Linked DNA regions of Saccharomyces cerevisiae S288C. The gene in region 3 interacts genetically with the main gene of each other region. Each region holds a gene or a part of one and is shown on either strand. Other genes may lie near its edges.

Region 1 (2,689 bases), 570 kb from region 3:
TGCGATAGTTGTATTCTGATTGCCTTATTATTATTTCACTAATTCTTTATTCACGTAGAGCATGACACTTTTTTTATGTGTTTCCTTTTGATTGTGAAATAAAGGCGAATCCTAACAAATATTAAAATGTTTCAATACATTGATAAAAATTGTAAACATTATTTTTTTGTAGTATAAAAATTCGTTCCTCATCATTAAAGAAACAAAAAGCATACAGATAATAATAAAAAAGGCACTTTAGACAGAATGAGAATACTAGCAATCACGAATTCCTACTTTTCCTTTCTGTATCCCTAGGCGTTTCACTCGACAAGAATTGATCGTCTTGTACCAATCCAAGCAGATCGATATATACATATATATCTGGATTTCGAGAAGAAGGATATATTTTATTGCTTATTTGTCTTTTTATAAAATCTCTCCTAAGTTAAGTTCATGGGGAATCTGACTCTAAAAATGAAATCTTAGAAATGCAAAAAAAAAGAAAAAGTATGGGTGAGTCAGTTTCTTCCAAATATATACAAATGGTCATCATTTTCATTCCAAAGTTTCTTTACCAGGTCAACAAAACCATTATTTTTCGTTTCCAATTCGTAGATACCGTACAGGGACAACATGGATCCTCCATAGAGGCAATAAAGGGCGAGCTTATGCCATCTTGGATACTTTTCCTTCGGTATATAGTCAATAATACAACTTGTGAAGCCATACTGTAAATATATCAAAAAAATGGACGATAAAGACGCATCGAGTAAAGGATTTATAACCCCGCCGGTAAAGGAGGCATAAAAAGGTACCATTGTTAATGGAATCAAAGTATATTTTGCTATTCTCTCATAGTCTTTTTGATAAGAGTCCTTAAATTGAGAGAACTCTGGGGGCTTAAACATCTGCACTGAAGAGGATGCCTCTTTTGACGTATTTGCAATATCGTTTATTTTATTTTCAGCATTTAAACGATTAATGCTATAAAAGGATCTTTTGGTTGAAAGTACTAATCCTGGAAAAACAGCTCGTACAGGATTTACAATGACAGTGGAAGCATTAAGAACAGGCTTCAAGCCAGGAAACAATAGCATTACCAAAGGTATTAAATTACTCAGTTGTTGCACCTCGCATCACCGTTAATTAATGTGTGCATTCCACTGTCTGGAAGTTTTCATTTTTATCCGATCTTTTGCGAGAATGGTTTGTTTTTCAAAAAAACCGAGTGTCAACAAGGCATGTAGCGACACAAAATGAAAAATTGAAAGTTAACAGGGCAAGATATGCACCATAATAGATTCATTGTTAATCTTAATCAAATAAAATTTCTCTTTTCCACACAGAAAACTAAACGAAAGGTATAACTTTAAGATGGGTTTTGTTGATTTCTTCGAAACATATATGGTCGGTTCTAGGGTCCAGTTCAAACAGTTAGATATTTCTGATTGGTTGAGTCTGACCCCAAGGTTGCTTATTCTTTTTGGCTATTTTTACCTTCATTCTTTTTTTACTGCAATCAATCAATTCCTACAGTTCATTAACACGAATTCCTTCTGTCTTAGACTGCATTTACTATATGACAGATTTTGGTCGCATGTGCCCATAATAGGTGAGTACAAAATTCGGCTGCTCTCGAGGGCACTGACATATAGTAAACTGAAAATAATACCAACTTTAGACAAGGTGCTGGAGGCGATTGAAATTTGGTTTCAGCTACATTTAGTTGAAATGACCTTCGAAAAAAAAAAAAACGTCCAAATTTTCATAACCGAGGGAAGTGATGACCTAAACTTTTTTAAAGATAGCAAATTCCAAACCACATTAATGATATGTAATCATCGATCAGTGAATGACTACACATTGATTAATTACCTTTTTCTCAAAAGTTGTCCCACCAAGTTTTATACTAAATGGGAATTTCTACAAAAGCTGAGGAAGGGGGAAGATCTAGCTGAATGGCCTCAGTTAAAATTTCTTGGTTGGGGAAAAATGTTTAACTTTCCTCGATTGGATCTACTAAAGAACATATTCTTCAAAGATGAAACACTCGCACTCTCATCGAATGAGTTAAGAGATATTTTAGAAAGACAAAACAATCAAGCTATTACTATTTTTCCCGAAGTCAATATCATGAGTTTGGAACTATCAATTATTCAAAGAAAATTACACCAAGATTTTCCCTTTGTTATAAACTTCTATAATTTATTATACCCAAGATTTAAAAACTTTACCACTTTGATGGCTGCTTTTTCATCAATTAAAAACATCAAAAGAAAGAAAAACCGTAACAATATAATCAAAGAGGCCCGATACCTGTTTCACAGAGAACTTGACAAATTAGTTCACAAGAGCATGAAAATGGAGTCTTCCAAGGTATCCGATAAGACGACGCCGCCCATGATCGTAGATAATTCATACTTACTTACAAAAAAGGAAGAAATCAGCAGCGGCAAGCCCAAGGTGGTACGAATCAATCCATACATATATGATGTCACCATAATTTATTACCGAGTCAAATATACTGATAGTGGGCATGATCATACCAACGGAGATTTGAGACTTCATAAAGGTTATCAATTAGAGCAAATATCTCCGACAATCTTTGAGATGATTCAACCAGAAATGGAGTCTGAAAACAACATAAAGGATAAGGACCCCATTGTTGTGATGGTAAATGTAAAAAAGCATCAAATTCAACCATTAC
Region 2 (3,650 bases), on a different chromosome or scaffold from region 3:
CAAGGGTTTCTTCTGTGAACATTTTGAATTGTACGCTTAAGATGATAATACCTAACTGATTCCAACCTATATTAGTAGAACCGAAACATACAAATAAGTGGTTGTTTGGCCGAGCGGTCTAAGGCGCCTGATTCAAGCAATATCTTGACCGCAGTTAACTGTGGGAATACTCAGGTATCGTAAGATGCAAGAGTTCGAATCTCTTAGCAACCATTATTTTTTATCTTTTTGGTTCTGTGATCAAGCTACCCGCGTTTGAAGCCGACTAAAGACGAGAAAAATTAGACCTTCATTTTTGCCTGTTTGCTGCATGTAAAAGAATGTTGGTTGAACATGTCGTTTAAGAGAAGAAATCGGGTACGGCGCTCTGGCTTTTAAAATTGAAGAAATTGGTGTTCTTCCGGTTAATACTTTGAACTCGGCTTTTCTTAACATGTAATAAAGTTTGTTACATCTCCCATAATTAAGTTTCTGGAACACGCATTGTTCTATTTTTAGACGGGAGACCAGAACTTCCTGATATATGACCGCTTTTTAGTGACTACGTATACTTTCTTTCTGCAATTACGTGTAAGAAAAAATTGATTTTTTATTTTTAAATTCACGGAATTTCAGACTGTGAAAACTTTGTAGTTCCAACTCACTTTGCTATGCAAGAAAATAATGAGGGGAAACAAAAAAAAAATGAGAGCGGAGAAAAGAACAATGCAGCTCAAGTATGAAGAAGAAAGTCACAGCAACGGAAATAAAAATCAAAATTGCGAAAATTGACAATCTTGACAATCGAAGCGGAAAAACAATGGAAGGTCCAGATACCTGTTGACCTTAAAAATGCAGAAAAATCGCCTTTATACGGCGACATTGTGAAAAATGACGTTAAAATCTTGTACATAAAAAAAGGGAATTACAAACTTGTAGTGTTTTTTTTTTTTAGGGGACTTGCATGAAAGTTAAATTTTATAGAAGTAATTAAATAGTCGATTTCCTTTCCTGTGTGTGACGAATCTAGATTTTTTTCATGTAAGAGACCCCGCCCTGCGGAGAGGGGCAAACAATTCTAGCAGAAAAAAATCAGTGGAAAAAAAAAAGAAATTCCGGATATGATAGAATATTTCTTCGAGAAACCTTTTGGATGAGGAGTGCCCTTCCATGAAGAAATTCTTCCTGCATCAGCACCTTCCCGGCAAGGCATTTCATTTTTTTTTTCCGAGAAGAAGATTTTTAAGTGGGCTACCCCACGCTTTCGGTGCCTATGGTAGCTGCATGATCACACAATGCACTCCCATTAAGAGTTTGTGAAGTGCATGAGATTGACATCTCGGCGTCCCTTAGTTTCCTGTCGGATTTTCAGTTATATGGAGTGGGTGAAGTCATTATCCGAATATTCGCGGATCATTGACGTATAAATACTTCATACTACTTCATACCAGATATTTCCTACATGTTGAAAGTCAATTGAAAAAAATAAATCATCACTTAACTCTTTTCCAGTGACACATCGCAAAGATTACTCAAATAATCTTCCTAAAACAATACTACCAGCATCTATTTCATGCAGCACCAAGCACAGAGGCTACATATCATATAAAATAAGTCATCATAGAGAAAAAAATGTCAGTAAACCCAGAATTTATAGCCGATGGCATCGATTTTTATCCAACAACGCCCGATGCCGCGTATTTCAATGCCGCTGATGGTAAAAATAAAGTTAACAGGATAAATGGTAACTCAGAAAATTTACACCACTCCTTTGCATCGGGTTGCCGTAGATCATCTCTTTCAGTCGACTTTAATGTTACCTCGTCCGATTCAGAAAAAAGTGAACAGAGCTGCTTGGAAAACAACTCTCAAGAAGACGAATATTTTTGTGACATTTTTTCCACTGAATTAAAATTAGATGAAACTTCTAACAAGTCAACCGATTATTCCAGTTCAAATCACCAGTATCCTGAACAACTGGAGTTGCACAATTATAAACTGCTCAATAAAATTGGTGAAGGGGCATTTTCCAGAGTATTTAAAGCAGTAGGCATCAACACGGATGACCAAGCTCCTGTTGCCATCAAAGCAATCATAAAGAAAGGCATTTCGAGCGATGCCATCTTAAAAGGGAATGATAGAATCCAAGGTTCCAGCAGAAAGAAAGTCTTAAACGAAGTTGCCATCCACAAACTGGTTTCGAAAAATAATCCGCATTGTACAAAATTTATCGCATTCCAGGAATCGGCGAACTACTATTACTTAGTGACGGAGTTAGTCACAGGTGGGGAAATATTTGATAGGATCGTCCAACTAACATGCTTTAGTGAAGACTTAGCTCGTCATGTCATTACTCAGGTAGCAATTGCAATTAAACATATGCACTACATGGGTATTGTGCATCGTGATGTCAAACCAGAAAACCTACTATTTGAACCTATCCCATTTTATGGCCTTGATGGGGACATGCAAAAAGAAGACGAGTTTACATTAGGTGTCGGCGGAGGCGGTATTGGTTTAGTGAAGCTAATGGACTTCGGACTAGCCAAGAAACTTCGGAACAATACCGCAAAAACTCCCTGCGGAACGATAGAATACGTCGCATCAGAAGTATTCACCTCCAAACGATATTCCATGAAAGTTGATATGTGGAGTATTGGCTGCGTACTATTCACGTTATTGTGTGGATATCCTCCGTTTTACGAAAAGAACGAAAAAACATTATTGAAGAAAATATCGAGAGGAGATTACGAATTCTTGGCGCCATGGTGGGACAACATAAGTTCTGGCGCTAAGAACGCAGTTACCCATCTTTTGGAGGTTGACCCAAACAAGAGATACGATATCGATGACTTCCTAAATGATCCTTGGTTAAATTCGTACGATTGTTTGAAGGATTCAAACTCAAATTCTTATGCCAGCGTGCAAAGCATACTAAATGATTCATTCGATGAGAGAGCAGAGACCCTACATTGTGCATTAAGCTGCCAATCTGAAAAACAAGATGACACCGAGTTTTCCAGAAGTGAAAGCTCGGAATACATATTTATGACGGAAGAAGACAGAAACCTACGGGGCAGTTGGATCGGTGAGCCAAAAGAGTGTTTTACCTTAGACCTTGCAACATCTTCTATATACCGAAGAAGGAAGAACAAGATATTCTTCTGGTAAACTCTTATCCAGTGGAAAACGCACCCAGCATATTCGAAAATATATCAACTGTCTCCCCTTTTTATACTAATAATTAATAGCATTCATATTGAAATAATAAAAAAGATACGTTTAATATTTACGCCAGCTCTCTAGTTACAGTTTCCTAACGCATACGTCATCAATTTGTTAAGATCGGCTTCGCTCTATAAAAATGTCGGCCGAAATTAGCATAGGATTTTCCGCGGTTCCGACCCCTATCCTAGAAACACGGAAAAACTTGCGAATAATTCCGGAATTTATTCTATGCAACTTTATGAAGACAAATTACTATAAATGAACCGCTCATTCAGAAAAACTATGTCTCGAGCTCAATGGATCTTACTACATAGTTTATAAAAACAGTAATTGTGCATTGTACAACTGTGCTAAACAGACTTAAAAAAGTAATAATTATGACTACTGATACCACTGTTTTCGTTTCTGGCGCAACCGGTTTCATTGCTCTACACATTATGAAC
Region 3 (2,960 bases):
GGCAGATGTCTGGAGAGGTGAAAATTCAGGGAAGAGTCCAGGCTGGGGTATTACTTTGGTTGCTCAGTCCAAGCAGAAAGGTTGGAGTTATTTTGCAGAAGATATCGGTGATGCAGGTTCTATACCTGAAGAACTTGGTGAAAAAGTTGCCTGTCAATTATTAGAAGAAATATCAAAGAGTGCAGCAGTTGGTAGAAACCAGCTTCCATTAGCAATTGTTTACATGGTCATCGGGAAAGAAGATATCGGCAGATTGAGAATTAATAAGGAACAGATAGACGAAAGATTCATAATCCTCTTGAGAGATATTAAGAAGATCTTTAATACTGAAGTCTTTTTAAAACCAGTTGACGAGGCGGATAATGAAGACATGATAGCTACTATCAAGGGTATTGGTTTCACAAACACAAGCAAAAAGATTGCATAGCATGTTCTAATATTATTCAATAGATATTAGACCACTGTATATAAGTTATATATATATATATGATTATTTAGGTGTAACTTCACGGACAACTGTCTAGAGTATAAGATTACTGGAGGATCATTGATGATTTCCTTTAACTCTTTTGGGTCATCTAAAATATCATCAAAGAGCGTATGCGAAAAGCGCGTTAAGAATAGATTACTTCATGACAAAATATAATTTTCCAGCTCAAAAATGTTTGTTTTTTTATGTAGACACTATTTTCAAACTATCTTTGTTAAATTACTCATCACCATCGTTGAAATCCAGATTAATCCAACTTGGCCATGCTAACTCCTTTCTTAAAAAATCTTTGAATATCGTAAACAAAAACTGTTCTAGTTCTCCAACACTTCTTAATACTGAGCCCTGTCCCTGATATTGTTCCCCTATTTCGGTTTCAATCTTCATACTTCTCACAATGGATATTCGCTCCAATGGCTTAGTAGCTGCCAGAATTGGCCCCTTAGGATCTAAAACAGTTTGGTTGTCATCCAGTGCAGGATCACTAACATCACACAGAAAGCTAAGAAATAGTTGCTTTGATAAACATGCAACAATGCAAAGGGAATGGAGACCGATATCACTGATAGAAAGTTTTACTGGCAAAGTCATAAATTTTTCTACGGGATAATTCAGCACAAGGTCGGCACCAATCGTAACGAGTAAGTCACCCTTGTACTCGACCTCTAGTAAAAATTGTATATCGTTGGGGGATGGCATCACCACAGGCGCCTCAAAATCATCTTTAGGTCCTTCATGATTAGCTATAGTACGATCAGGACAAATATGTTCGCTGTCCTCCTTGTTGTCATTATTTTCCTCCGTCTCTTGATCAGCCTCCTCTCTAATTGAATCATAAAACTCATCTAGGGGATCTGTTATTTCTTTCAGTGTTATAGCAGGACCAACTTTTCCCAGATCAAAATCTAGTACCCTAAGATTACTTACGTAGCTTGGTAGTTGCGTATTTTGTAAATATGAATTTAAATGTTTTCTTATAAGATCATTCAGTCTATTGTCAGATTCCAATGTACTCCAATTAATATCAAAAGACATTTGGATTAGTTGAAGCCAGCTTATGATCTGTTTCAACCGTTACATAGGATGGCATGCTTTTTCTCATGTTAGAGAAAAATTTAAAGATCGAGTTGTCTGAAAAACCTGAACTATTTAAAACGAATAATAGGATAAGGAGCCAAACAATAAACGGCTAAAGATACCGTGGAGAATGGTTTTGATAATAAGGCCCTCACAGACATTGATATTATTCAGGAAAGCGATGCTCAAGCCAATTGGGAGATATCCTCTTAAAAGAAATTTTTTTGGTTTGAGCGGTACCAATCACACTATTAGGGAACAGCGATATGTTTTGCGCAAGGCCATAAACGCCCCTCCAAGCACAGTCTACGCTGCAGTGTCAGAAGTTGCCCAATATAAGGAATTTATTCCTTATTGTGTTGATTCGTTTGTAGATAAACGAAATCCTGTGGATAACAAGCCTCTCATTGCGGGGCTTCGAGTTGGTTTCAAACAATACGATGAGGAATTTATATGCAATGTTACCTGTAAAGATACTGATCATACGTATACCGTTGTTGCAGAAACAATATCTCATAATTTGTTTCACCTTTTGATTTCGAAATGGACCATAATGCCTCACCCAAATAGACCAAATGCGGCCATGGTAGAACTTCTATTAAGATTTAAATTCAAATCTCGGATATATAACAGTGTCTCTCTAATATTTGCGAAAACTGTGACTGAATTGGTGATGAACGCATTTGCCAAAAGAGCATACCATTTAGTAAGATTAGCAATGCTAAAACCTTCTTCTAAAGAAGGCTCTCCGTGATATCTTCCGTATAATTTCAGATAACAAAGATCATGCCATCCAGGATAAGCGTATGCATGGTTAAATTTTTAGACTATAGAACAAGATTTTTCTGTATAGTTATGTTTATAGTATTTAAGCTTTCTAACAAGCTCCAGTAGGGGCGGAGGATACAAACAAATATATTTTGCTGCAAAATTTCCTGGTCTTCCGTCGCAATCAACAAGTTGATACGCAGATGCACCATTTTATTCATTGGCAAAGTACGATCAGTTTAGTGCTTGTATCTGTATGCGAAAAAAGAATGGTGTACTAAAAACAGCGCATGGTGATGGCGAGGAATTTACACGTATCCTCTCATTAATTGAAGTATTAGGTTTTCGAGTCGCACTTAGTGTAAATGAGGTGTAGAAAGGTGGGGACGCAATTATTCCTTACCGTCGAGCAGTTGATCCAGATGAACACTGGGAGGACGGTACTTCTTTACTTTACCCTGACTAACATTTGATTTTGGAGTAGAGCGGTCTTCAGAGTCGGGACTTAAATTGTATGATGTATAATTGAATGGATTAGTGCTGTCTGTAAACTTTCCCAGTATTTGGGTAGCACCAGGTTCCCTTGGAGTACTGGACAAGGAATCATATATAGCACTCTCATTGC

The links. A genetic interaction does not mean that the proteins touch.
Region 1: mutations in COQ10 (region 3) and TIM18 together harm fitness more than expected from each alone (negative genetic interaction), as found in Saccharomyces cerevisiae (2 studies listed by BioGRID).
Region 2: mutations in COQ10 (region 3) and RCK1 together harm fitness more than expected from each alone (negative genetic interaction), as found in Saccharomyces cerevisiae (2 studies listed by BioGRID).

What each region holds. Positions count from the first base shown.
Region 1 is NC_001147.6:874,243-876,931, forward strand, and holds TIM18 (Tim18p), read right to left. Parts: upstream 1,080-2,689; coding exon 501-1,079; downstream 1-500. Other genes in the region: MUM3 (Mum3p), read left to right, coding at 1,357-2,689. UniProt on the Saccharomyces cerevisiae protein: Component of the TIM22 complex, a complex that mediates the import and insertion of multi-pass transmembrane proteins into the mitochondrial inner membrane.
Region 2 is NC_001139.9:205,422-209,071, forward strand, and holds RCK1 (putative serine/threonine protein kinase RCK1), read left to right. Parts: upstream 1-1,611; coding exon 1,612-3,150; downstream 3,151-3,650. Other genes in the region: carbonyl reductase (NADPH-dependent) ARI1, read left to right, coding at 3,585-3,650.
Region 3 is NC_001147.6:308,615-311,574, forward strand, and holds COQ10 (ubiquinone-binding protein COQ10), read left to right. Parts: upstream 1-1,697; coding exon 1,698-2,321; downstream 2,322-2,960. Other genes in the region: RCL1 (rRNA-processing endoribonuclease), read left to right, coding at 1-427; ERMES complex subunit MDM12, read right to left, coding at 710-1,525; CSI2 (Csi2p), read right to left, coding at 2,728-2,960. UniProt on the Saccharomyces cerevisiae protein: Required for the function of coenzyme Q in the respiratory chain. May serve as a chaperone or may be involved in the transport of Q6 from its site of synthesis to the catalytic sites of the respiratory complexes.